Linked DNA regions of Yarrowia lipolytica. The main gene of each other region encodes a partner of the protein of the gene in region 4 in a complex. Links are inferred from orthologs where the notes say so. Each region holds a gene or a part of one and is shown on either strand. Other genes may lie near its edges. The genes, in order: YALI1_E12067g, YALI1_D27297g, YALI1_B08627g and YALI1_E36866g.

Region 1 (2,424 bases), about 2.5 Mb from region 4:
CTTTCAATGTAATGCGATCGCAACTGACCGTTTTACCTCGCTTCCCAACTCCCCCTGTTTGAACCTACCCTCGATATTCGTCAGACCTTCTTCTGACTCCCCTCCTCTCTCTCATTCCACCGGTGTCCCACATCCTCTCCAGATCCGCTCCAGATCCGCTCCAGATCCGCTCTAGCCCGCTCCAGATCCACTCGACACCACCGCTTAACCCTTTCACGCACCTCCATCACACTACTCGTCTTCAGCCACCTCAACTCAACTAAACATCCATTATCTATGTACAAGATTCCTGATTGGTCCGAATCTGCTTCTCGTCGGATCAACCATCCCTCACAGTCACACTCCGTTCGCGTTTGTGTCTGTCTCTTTTGGTCTGTCTCTTTTTGTCCGTGTGATAGTGTGATTGTGTTGTGTCTGATCTGAGCCCTTTTGTGTCTGTGTCTGCACCGTTTGCTTCCACCACAATGCAACAACACAAATCAATGCTTCTCACTCTCGGACACCCCCCAGACCACCTACTGCTTCTTGTCGACTCCCTTCCAGTCCTCAGGAAGCACGCCAGCCAGCATCAGGATCCGGGTGGCAGTGTCCGACGGCTGGGCACCGGTTCCAATCCAGTACTTTGCTCGATCAAAGTCCAACTCGACGTCCTTCACCGGCAGCACGCCTCTCTTGAGCTCCTCGTGCGACCGGGGGGCAGGAATGGGGTTGTATGTGCCAATCACCTCGATGGGCAAACCGTCTCGTCGCTGGCCGGCCTTGGCCACCACAATGTTGTACAGGGGCGAGTGTCGTCGGCCAAATCGCGCCAGTCGAATTCTGATTCCTCCCTTCATGATGAGATGATAAGTGTCGGTGGGTTTTTTCACGGTGCGTCTGGAGACACAATTTTACATGCCATTTTGCATCATGTCAGGGTAAGGGCTTCTTAAGGTTTGCTGAGTAAGCAAATATTTGGTCCGCGGTTCGATTTTCGACTGGGGCAGATTTCTTGTTTAATTTTTGATCTGGAGTTGATTTCGAGATTGCAGGCGGCGGCTATATTGTCTGGTCACGTGATTGCATTGCATTGGCACGTGCTGGATCGTCGACGAGTTTGGTGGGCTTTGTTCCGTCCATCTTCAGTTTGGGCTTGGGAGCCACAACGATCTTCAACGGTGATCGTGAGACATGGCCGGGTAGGGGAGGAGGGTTGTGGGTGGTTGGAGAGCAGGTTGGAGGGTGTCAGGGGTGTCACGGGGGTTTTTTGGCGGTTTGGGGTGGTAGAAAACAGGTTATGGGGGGTTTGGGGTGGTTTTGGTTGATTTTGGGCCGATTGCAGATATATTTCCGGGCCTCAGCTGTTTTCTACCTTTCTTAGATCGCTCTCGAATTGGCTCTTTCTTCAGGACGTTTGGTTTCACATTCAGAAGGGATATTTGCTCATTGTGGCTGTGAAGTTGTCTTGATAGAGATGCTGATCGGAGCATATTTGAGTGAAAAGAGAGAATCGGGTTGATTGATGGAAGACGGTGACGTGTATTTTGATTTGGGGTTGGTTGTTGATGTTTTTGTTGGTTTTTTTCCCTCTTTTGGAATTCTTTGGAATTCTTTGGAATTCTTTGGATTTCTTTGGATTTCTTTGGATTTATCGAATTATTTGGATTATCCTTGATTCCATTAAATCAAAAAAAATCAAAAAAATCAAAATAATCAAAAATAATCCCGAAAATTACATAAATGATCACACAATGTCAGGAAATCAACAGAAACCTAGCCGGATCCGCTCCCGAACACGTGCGACGCCCTCTCCAGCCGCGCAGAAGATCTCAACGGGCTAATTCCCGCTACAAGAACGATATTAACGCATATAAAGCCGGCCGGCGTGGACCTCGGGATTGTCCTGTAGCGATCTGCACCGAAGATCTTCTAGAAGGTGGGCCGGGTCATGTGACCGTTGGCGATGGTGGCAAGCGTCCGCACGGTTAGACCATGGTCAGAGTGGAGGCATTACATGTCTGTGATGGCACTCCATGTCTGTGATGGCAATTACATGTTGCTGTTGATGGCACTACAATGTCTTGTGGATGGCATTTACATGTCTGCCTGTGATGGCAACTACATGTCTGGTGTGTTGGCATTACATGGCTTATGTCATGGTATACATTTCTGGTGTGATGTGATGAGGCTGGCCGTAACCTCCCTATCCGGTACGTTTTGAATCGCTCTGTGCGTTGCTCTGATCATTAGACATTAGGTGCATTACGGCGATCATTCGACGGCGGTTAAAGCGGCTATCTGAAGGTTATTAAAAAGATTAAAAATTAGAAAAAATTAGAAAAAATTAGAAAAAATTAAAAAAAAACCGTGTGGAAATTGGAATGCAAAATAAATCACTGGTCTCATTATTTATCATTCAGATTCTGGCGAGTACAAATTCCGGTA
Region 2 (2,975 bases), on a different chromosome or scaffold from region 4:
TAAGTCAAGCGTTGCATCGGGTGTGGCATTTTCGAGAGTAGCGAGAAATTGATACTGTTCGAGGGACTTTTTGGAGGGATTCGTTCGAGAAACCTGTTCGAGGGACCTTGACGAGGGACCTGTTGGAGGAATAGTGCAACATATTGACGCTCGTCAGTCATGTCTTACTATCACCCTAACAGTCTCTCTGTTTGACTATCTCTGTCATCGAGTGATGAAACTTGCAGTTCCTAATCCATGGACCCAGACTCCGAGTACCTGTCTACAGTCCATGTCGTGAGAATATAACAATATACGAGTTTGTGGGTATAGCTCCGCGAAGAACGAGTGCTTGATACTGGATGCACGTACTATTACATACAGACGGTTCTTTTCAAAGATGCAGAATGTTAGCTGAGTATCGATAAACCCCTTTCCAATCCGATAATGTAGTATTCGACCGTCTACTGTATTTGTCCATCTACACCGCTCAGGTTCGACTAAAATTGATATGTACATGATATTTACCACGAGGCCTTTCGGACACCGGGCAGCTCTCCGCTGAGGGCCTTGTTTCGGAATGCGGTCTGGGTTAGCTTTGAAAGGACAGTAGAACAGGAGAGAAGGGAGTAAGGGGAGTAAGGAGTGAGAATAGCGTAGAGAGGTTGAGAGAAGCAAAACACAATGCAGCCAGTAAGTCGATAAGTCGGTAAAACCGTCTGTAAGGCAGTTGGTAAGACAGTGTCCAATCCAATAACTCGTGGAATAAGTCCAGAAAAAATACCGATCAAATCACAACGCATCAAACAGCAGCAATCAGCATAAAAAGACGACAGACGAAACCAACATGATGGTCTATTGCTGCACTTATGGTCTACTGCTGCACTTATGGTCTCTCTGCTGCACTTCCTACCGTTCGATGTGCACTGTCACTCATTCCAATCGCCGACATCCCGGTCATGGGCTATCTCATTCAAGATGGTGCGGTTCATTTCCCATCCCCGTTCGCGGGGCTCATTCTCCCCAACTGTAGTCATTCCCACTCCTCATTCTTCACTCAGACCTTTGGTCTTCGCTTCGGTTGTACTCACTCGACACAGCTTGAACTCCTTGATAATACCCTTGGATCTTCCGGTCTCGACACATCGGGGCTTTGCCGCGTGGATGTTAGAAAAGACGGGCATGGAGGTGAGCTGGAGATGGGCCTGGATCCGCTGCTTCATGGGCAGAGTGGTGTTCTGCGAAATCGACTTGAGGGCCCGTCGGTTAATCTCCTGCTGGGCAGACACGTGCCGGATGGCGTTATCCTTGAGCACCTTGGCGTCGATGTAGCACGACGGCGTCTTGAACTTGGGCAGTCGCATTTTGGTTGTGCGGTGTGTGAAGCGAGTGAATTTGAAATTTGAAATTTGATATGCAAACTTTCTCGCCTAGTGGGGAGTTGCTGACTACGCCAACGATCGGTTGTATAAAAACGTAAAAATATCAGAAAAGCCATACTACTGCAATGTTACCAACTCCAGCCATATTTTGTATTTGTATATATATATATGTAGATTTTTCTCACCATAGAAACGCTCTTCATATCCGTCATGATTCCTGTTGGGAGACGGTGATGTCGACTTACAGGACACATCTTACCCTGACTAAGCTGACGAACTGTAATAAGTATATATTTATTTAGTTATTTTATAAGAGCTAATTCGAATATTGTAAGGATAGTAAAGTGTCGTCTCACAAAAATATATATAAAGACGTTAGAAATTATTCGTGAACAAAAATACCCTGTCAGGTGACATTATTAGTCAGTGTAACCATTATCACAGGTTACGACCTTTTATAGCGGGGAATAAGACCCTCTTCGTAACTACAACTACGGGTGCTCGTACGTATTGTAGAGCAAACAACACTCTGAATAAATTGAAACAACGACTGAATTGTCCAGTTTTCATTACCCCACTCAAAGGAAGTCACACGACTTCCAATCATACCCCAGATCGGAGTTTGAGACACATTTTCGGAGCAAAATGCAATAAAGATTTTGTCTCAAGAGGACGATTCAAGTCGGGGAAAATCGGGGAGAATCGGGTAAAATCAGGGAAAATCGGGGAAAAAGGCAATAAACAAACCAGACCTACATAATCGGACTATTTGATGTCAATTATCCACTCCAAACCCATCTCAACACGTGGAAATACCTCAAATTCCTGCAAGTACAGCACATACAGTAGTCCACTTGCGTCTCGGTGCATGCATAGATGTGCCCGGTTTAGGAGCAAGTTTTGATTCGACAAGGTATACAGAAGCTTACGTCAGCAGGTAGTCGTAAGCGGGCCCCTCTTGTTATTGTCACGTGACCTGCCGGGGGGCCGCAGCTTGATAATGGTGAATCCTTTGTCTCTTGTTTGCTTCTTTTGAAATTAGCCATTTATTTCAGACCAATTTCGGGCTTGGAGGATTATTAGGTTACATTTTCGAGAGTTTAAAGAGACGGTGGGGAGTGTCGGAAACGAGGTTTGAAGAGTATTGATTGGCGAAATGTGGGATTATTGGGCTATTCTCAGGTCAGAGTATATTTATTTCCAGTTTCGGCATTTAAATAGCAATTTTTTCCTCATTTTTCCTCATTTTTCCTCAATTTCTCCGCCGTCATTTCCGTCCCACTTTTTCGATTCTACTTTATTGTAATTGTACTTTTAATTTATTTACCTTCAGGGATGGTGCATTCCGTTTGCAGTAGATGTTCGGAATTTTTGACGGTGGCTGATTACAAGGGATTAGGTGGAATGGCTACATGGGACATTACATTGCGAGGAGGCTGATTCTAGCGACAGTAGCCGGTTGCAACTTGCGTGAAGATGCTCCTCTTCAACACAATGCCAGAGTCTGATGGTGCTCGAGTACATACTCGTAATGTTGCAATGTAGATGCGTAATTACGTCTCTACGAACCGTTCAAGAGGAATGCTTGTAGCGTTCAAGAGGAGTATACATAGC
Region 3 (3,412 bases), on a different chromosome or scaffold from region 4:
GTATGCTGTTGTAATGGCTTAGCCGAAAGCTGCGTTGTCTTGTGGGGTGGGTGGATCAAAGGTCGTTTTAGTCTGACGTTACGACGGAGCTTAATTTTTTCAGAGCCGCACAAAAAAAAAAAAAAAAAAAAAAAAAGCAAAAAACAGCAAAAAAAAAGCAAGGCGATGACAAGAATCGTGGAAAAACACAAACTGTGGTTGGACTAGTAGAGAAAAGCGAGGCAGGTGGTTTCAAAAACACGTCGTATGATTTTTTATTGGTGTTACACCCTTGTTTGTTAGTTGCGACAAACTTATGTTTAATTACTTGACATTTGGAGATTTAGTACTTGAGTCTAGTTAACATTTTAGTTGGGAGTCTACAGTAGTTTACACTTTTGTTGGATTGACATACGACAAACCTGTAACTTGACATCGCCTCGTAGACGACTATCTGACGGTGCCACCAGTGTGGAACTTTGTCGCTTGCGTTCAAACATTTCATTTTTTAACCTCGGTCAGACTATATACATTACCAAAACTTGGATAGGAATCCCATGATGCCCTTGGCCTCGGCTCCAGGGGCAGCCTTGTACTCGTTGGCCAGTGAGCCGAGAGCTTCGGAAACGGAGCCAAAGTGTCGTCGGGGCACTCGGTTGAACCGTCGGGCGTTCTTTCCGTTGGTTCGAGTCTTCTGGCCCTTGACGGGCATACCCATGACGTGTCGTCGACCGACGTACGAGCCGGTCTTTCGCTTTCGCTCAATGTCGGCGTTGATCTTCTTGGCCAGGTCGGACTCGATGGTCACATTGGTTGACAGCTCCTTGACAATTGCCATGATGTCGCCCTGGGTGAGCTCGCCCATTCGCATGCCAGGATACAGGCCAATCTTGGCACATAGCCGCTTGGCCTGGAACGGACCCACGCCGAACACTTGCTGAGACAGTCCGTACTGAGTTAGTATGTCACGAGGCAGGGGAGAATAGAGCAAAACTGAAGAAAGCAGGTGGAATCCGCCACTCGGGAAGGATGGTGGGTGTCGACATGTAAGGTGTAAGATCTGATGCTTTTGGTTGGAAAAATCAGTGTTCATCGGTCTTAACCTGCGCTGAATACCAGATCTTAGATGTAGATAGGCCGTCTATCCACTCTTTTTCGTCCATGTACGTATCCTGGGTACACGTTATTTGTTGGTTGATGGTATCACTCTCTTTTGGGCCAAAAGTCTCGAAAACAAGACTAAACGACAGTTTGAGTCTCGGAACACCTTGTAAACCGTCCTCAATTGTCAATACTGCCGTTTGCACAAGCCCGTGTCACGTACATGTCGGATGTGTGACGTTCATATCATCACACCAGTTCTTCTCTCTCACCTACTTGCGAAAGCTGAAAGTCGGTAAATCACTTGTCGCCGCCGAAACCCCATCATTAGTCACTCTCCCGTCCTTCTCCCATCCGCCTAAGCTCTTATCAGCTCAACATGTCCACATGACAAAATCTCACAGTTTGATCCATCGCGTTCTCGGTCATTTGTGGCTCCATCTTTTCCGAACAAGTCATCACCCGCTCCATGTCACCCGTGAAATACTCACAGAAACCTTCCAGGTGTTCTGGAACCGCTTTCCCATAATATGAACCACCATTTTTGCTGTATGTGTGTTTGGTGATGTGTGTGAAATTTGCGCTTAGTCAGGACCTCCCACAAGAACAAACCCTATCCCAGACTTTTGATATAGTACAGGTTCTGCATCCGCCCTAACCCTACCCTAACCCTGAGATGTAGGAAGTGGGGAGGGAAATACCGCCGTTTGAACGCGGTTTTTGTGTTCATCAGAACGCTCAACACACGTGCTCTCTGGTCACTCTGCCGGGAAGCGGTATTGCGGTTTTTAAAAAACAGCACTCTCATTGGCCAACAACGATAAGGTTGCACATATCGAAATAAGGTTTTATGCTAACTCCGTGATGACTAAGCTCGTTAGCGCCACGGGGGCGGATAATGCCTGGTCCCTAGTCTAGTGATATCGACCTGCGACCGAGTTATCAAACATTCTGAAGGCTCTTTGTGTGCCGGTTTTGTGACTCCGTTTAATTTTCGTTAAAGTTCGCTCACGTGACTCGCCACTGCAGCAACCCTACATATTCGATCCCGCACACATGTACTATCCGCCATACACAACCATGAAGAAGGAGGACTATTTGCCCAGTGAGTATTGATGGAGAGCCGGGTTAGGGAATTGAGGCGAGGGGAGGGTGTTTGAGGGGTTAGGGTGACAAGCGATTTGGAACGACAACTGAGACGACAGCTGAAACGACAGCTGAGATGAGTCCTGAGATACCCATGTTTGCGCCGATTGGTGGGTGAAAGTGATGGAGTGGAGCGGTTGGTTGGACTTGTCTATGACGTGTTGGTTCCAAATTTTGAGTGGTCAATTTAGTTGTTTTCAAGGATATTCTCTGAGGCAGTGGAGGCGGCGTGGCGGAGGTTCATATAGTATTCGGTGTTGATTCAATCAGTGTTGACTTTACATTGGTGCTGGTTGAATCGGCGCTGCCTACAGTGGTCCTCTACAAACCATGGCCAAAGACGCAACTGAGACCGTCGATACGTTACTGCACTTTCTACATCTCATTGATACCAGTTTTTAGAACTCCTTACCTGCTTGCTCTACTCCGTTGGATCTACCTCCAACAACCCTGTCACATGACACCTACCCCCAACTCCCCGGACTGCAGCCACTTCCGTTCTAACACAGACCTCGTCGATATCGAGTCTCCGCTCTCGGACGAAGAGCTCTACGTTCTTTCTCAACAGTACAACAACGAGGGCGACTTTGTCTCGGTGCAGACCCGCTTCAACTATGCCTGGGGTCTGATCAAGTCTCGAAAGGTCGAGGACCAGCAGCTGGGAGTGCAGATCCTGGCCCAGGTGTACAAGGACACGCCCTCTCGACGTCGAGAGTGCCTCTACTACCTTGCCATCGGCTCCTACAAGCTTGGCGAATACACAGATGCTCGGAAATACTGCGACCTGTTGCTGCAGATCGAGCCCGATGACCCCCAGAGCGCCAAGCTGCGTCAGATCATCGAGGACAAGCTGGCCAAGGAGGGCATGATTGGAATTGCTATTGTGGGAGGAGTCATTGCGGTGGGAGCTGCTGTTCTGGGCGCCGTGTTGAGCCAGAAAAAACGGTGAGATGGACCGTGAGTGTGACAAATCATTTTTTTCACAGAAAGTGGGTCACATGTTACGCTCACGTAAAGCACTGATGATCACAATGCTCCGTGCTAAAATATGTACAGAACGCTACAGCCCACTCACGTGATGGTAATATATGAGTTATAGATAGACCAGCTACTTGTAGCCATCGTTGAGTGGAAGGGACTTGAAGAGGTGAACGTGCAAGTCTACGAGGCAGTGCCGGAGCAATGG
Region 4 (2,907 bases):
CCGGAGGCCCCCGCTGCCACCATGTTTGTACCGCAACGCCGAAGGCGATCAGCCACAGATTCCGTCCGCAGCGAACGACGCAAACGTAGAGTTGAGGACGACTCTGAGGTGGCGGAAACACAGGCAGCTGTAGGAACAGCAACAGGGGCTACGGCAACAACGACGAATACGGAAACGTCGAGCTCCCCACCTGGTGGAACTCCCCAGGCTGCTGCATCTACTTTAGGAGAGGCTTCCATCGATGCCTCAGAAACACAACCCTTGCTGGAGAACATTCTGGAGGAACCCGAGCCTGCATCCACACGGAATTCGGGTGTGCCGACGGGCGGAATTCCAGGCATGGACATTCCAGGTATGTCGAATGAACGGCAGCCACGTAATCAGTCGGTCATGTTGTCTCGATTGTTGTTTCTGGCCTCTGCCATGACCGCATCTTCGCTTGTGGGCACCGAGTTTGGCTTCCAGAACGGCGGAGGTACCGGATCATCCTCAGACGACTTTGACCGGTTCCTCTCTGGACTTTCGCGAGGTCTGCTCTCACCTGAGATCACTGCTCGTGAACCCTCTGGGGCGGAAGGTGTTCGACCCCTCAACTACTTTCGAATGTTTAGATTCCCTCCGACTGAAGGATCCACGTTTGTTCCTGTGCTTGTGGTCGGAATTAGATCTTCGGAAGATAACGGACAGGGACCCAATGCGGAGATCACCACTGATTCCATGCCGTTTTTCGAAGCAGCCACCTCCAGACCCATTCGTCTGAGTGAACCCACCGACACAGTAGAGTATAACCCTCTTCGCTCGCGCTACGAGCGTGGTAGATCTATCTTGGATCAATTCATGAGCGACTTTGGCCCATCATTCAACAACCCAGATAGACAGGGTAGCACAGACTCGTTGACGGAAATGCCCGACTCGGCATCCACTTACCATACCCCTCTGGCGAGCACGGAACAAGTCGACGATGCCGGTTCTGCATCTGCTTCCGCCATTTCTCCTGCTGTGGCTCCTCATCCTCTCATCCCTGCCACTTCTCCGGCTTCACAGACTGCCCCACCTCTGCCTAGCCTCCCTTCACTGCCTCCTCCGACTGGTGACAACGCCAATGAACCTCGGAATACTCGAGAGTCGCTACGAGAAGCCATCCCCGAGCGCCCCCTGAGACAGTCATGGATCGTCTATGTCTTTGGAGGCACGTACCCTGAAGACCATCCCATTCTCAATGCGGCTTCTCTGTTCACAGATGAACCTACCATGGAGGATCTGTCCCTGTTGGAAAGGCATCTGAGCCCCATGAAGAACCATCTGGCTACCCAGGAGGACGTGGAGCAGGCTGGAGGATTGTCGACGGTGAAAGAGTTCATCGAGGGCGAAAAATGCCCTATTTGCATGACGGATTACGAAAAGGGCGACGTGTGTCGGCAGCTCAATAAGTGCCATCACGAGTTCCACAAGGACTGTGTGGATCATTGGCTCCTGACTGGATGCAACTCGTGTCCCATGTGTCGAGGCGAGGGAGTTGCCAGGGCTTAAGTAGGGGTAGCATTTAGACATTACTTAATGTAACGAATTATGAGTGAGTCAAACAATAGTATTTGGTCGTATTGCAGAACTGGTAAAATTTAGTTGAGTTTAGTTGAGTTTAGTTGAGTTTAGTTGGAATTATCTAGAAGTATTTAAGTATAGGGATTGACGTGAAGATAACAGGACCTGACATTGAAGAAATGAGCAATTAAAAATTATAACAAGTTTGTTGTATGTCTGAATCATACATTATCAAGTATTTTTCATACTCATTTTTATATCAGATCATCTCATACTGGACAGCTTTTCCTACCACTGATCACACAGTACACTATCGAAATAAAGTTTTGGGTATGAGTTGCAAATTTCAACCTCCAACTTTCATCTCACCACACATCACCAGCACGACATGCCTCTTTTGCACGCCTCCAACCTCTGTGCGCACCTGCAGAACGTTGCACGAGTGGGCCGACCCCTCACATCCATTCCTCACAACAAGCTCAACCTGCAAATTGCCCTGGGTCTCTACCGTGAGGGTTTCCTTTCCGGCGTGCAGCGAGGAGACATTTACGGCCCTGATGCTGTCTACACAGAAACAACCCCCCAGAACGTGGCATCGCGACGGCTGTGGATCGAGCTCAAGTATCGACAGAACCAGCCCGTTCTCAACAGCCTGAAGCTGGTCTCCAAGCCTAGTAGACGAATGGTGCTGACCACCGAGGAGCTGCGACAGCTACAGCTTGGACGAAAGGTCAAGTTCGTCAACCCTCCCAAGATTGGTGAGGTCATTCTTATCAAGACTCCCGGAAAGGACGGAAATGTCATCGACCTCAACGAGGCCTGCCGACGATTCCTCGGCGGGGAGGTCATCCTTCGAGCCTCTTAAGCCCAATGAAAATGTACATAGTAAATGATTGGTTCTAGGTGTGTGTGCATTAAAGCGCATCGGTTTAGGTCTGTGCGAGTAGTCTTGGTATGAGTAGTACCTCTGTCGTTGGATCCCGTAGATGTCGTAGATTGTTGGATGTTCAGGATACTGGGCGGTTAGCGGTATGGCACAATACCTGCCATAGAAGCTTCATAATTACGTGAAGCGTGATCCAGCATCAGCTAAGATAAGGCAAGGTCAACTATGTCTATACATTTCCCCAGGCGCTCCTATTACACGCCATGGTCTTACTGTACATGCCGTCGTGTAATGTCTTATTTGTTGTCATATAAAAATTCATGTAAATATAAGTTGTGGGTATGGTGGATACTTCATAGGCACGATCAACGCATCTCGTCATGTTCCCTACAAAGTAACAACGCTGCCAATACCCTGGCTTCGCCATTGTCGCAGATCAACCTGCCATCCGGTCCACTTGCCAATAGCCTGTCGGGCGT

Evidence for each region.
Region 1: YALI1_E36866g (region 4) and YALI1_E12067g share a complex: the UniProt entries of both Schizosaccharomyces pombe proteins name them as parts of the mitochondrial small ribosomal subunit. The link is inferred for Yarrowia lipolytica from reciprocal best matches to the Schizosaccharomyces pombe genes mrps8 and mrps16.
Region 2: YALI1_E36866g (region 4) and YALI1_D27297g share a complex: the UniProt entries of both Schizosaccharomyces pombe proteins name them as parts of the mitochondrial small ribosomal subunit. The link is inferred for Yarrowia lipolytica from reciprocal best matches to the Schizosaccharomyces pombe genes mrps8 and mrp2.
Region 3: YALI1_E36866g (region 4) and YALI1_B08627g share a complex: the UniProt entries of both Schizosaccharomyces pombe proteins name them as parts of the mitochondrial small ribosomal subunit. The link is inferred for Yarrowia lipolytica from reciprocal best matches to the Schizosaccharomyces pombe genes mrps8 and sws2.

The regions. Positions count from the first base shown.
Region 1 is NC_090774.1:1,205,132-1,207,555, reverse strand, and holds YALI1_E12067g (mitochondrial 37S ribosomal protein bS16m), read right to left. Parts: upstream 837-2,424; coding exon 516-836; downstream 1-515. UniProt on the Schizosaccharomyces pombe protein: Component of the mitochondrial ribosome (mitoribosome), a dedicated translation machinery responsible for the synthesis of mitochondrial genome-encoded proteins, including at least some of the essential transmembrane subunits of the mitochondrial respiratory chain.
Region 2 is NC_090773.1:2,728,039-2,731,013, reverse strand, and holds YALI1_D27297g (mitochondrial 37S ribosomal protein uS14m), read right to left. Parts: upstream 1,344-2,975; coding exon 1,071-1,343; intron 567-1,070; coding exon 504-566; downstream 1-503. Other genes in the region: YALI1_D27324g (uncharacterized protein), read left to right, coding at 1-3. UniProt on the Schizosaccharomyces pombe protein: Component of the mitochondrial ribosome (mitoribosome), a dedicated translation machinery responsible for the synthesis of mitochondrial genome-encoded proteins, including at least some of the essential transmembrane subunits of the mitochondrial respiratory chain.
Region 3 is NC_090771.1:860,925-864,336, reverse strand, and holds YALI1_B08627g (mitochondrial 37S ribosomal protein uS13m), read right to left. Parts: upstream 1,623-3,412; coding exon 1,572-1,622; intron 932-1,571; coding exon 512-931; downstream 1-511. Other genes in the region: YALI1_B08616g (uncharacterized protein), read left to right, coding at 2,684-3,175. UniProt on the Schizosaccharomyces pombe protein: Component of the mitochondrial ribosome (mitoribosome), a dedicated translation machinery responsible for the synthesis of mitochondrial genome-encoded proteins, including at least some of the essential transmembrane subunits of the mitochondrial respiratory chain.
Region 4 is NC_090774.1:3,685,684-3,688,590, reverse strand, and holds YALI1_E36866g (mitochondrial 37S ribosomal protein MRPS8), read left to right. Parts: upstream 1-1,930; coding exon 1,931-2,407; downstream 2,408-2,907. Other genes in the region: YALI1_E36887g (uncharacterized protein), read left to right, coding at 1-1,530; YALI1_E36847g (uncharacterized protein), read right to left, coding at 2,816-2,907. UniProt on the Schizosaccharomyces pombe protein: Component of the mitochondrial ribosome (mitoribosome), a dedicated translation machinery responsible for the synthesis of mitochondrial genome-encoded proteins, including at least some of the essential transmembrane subunits of the mitochondrial respiratory chain.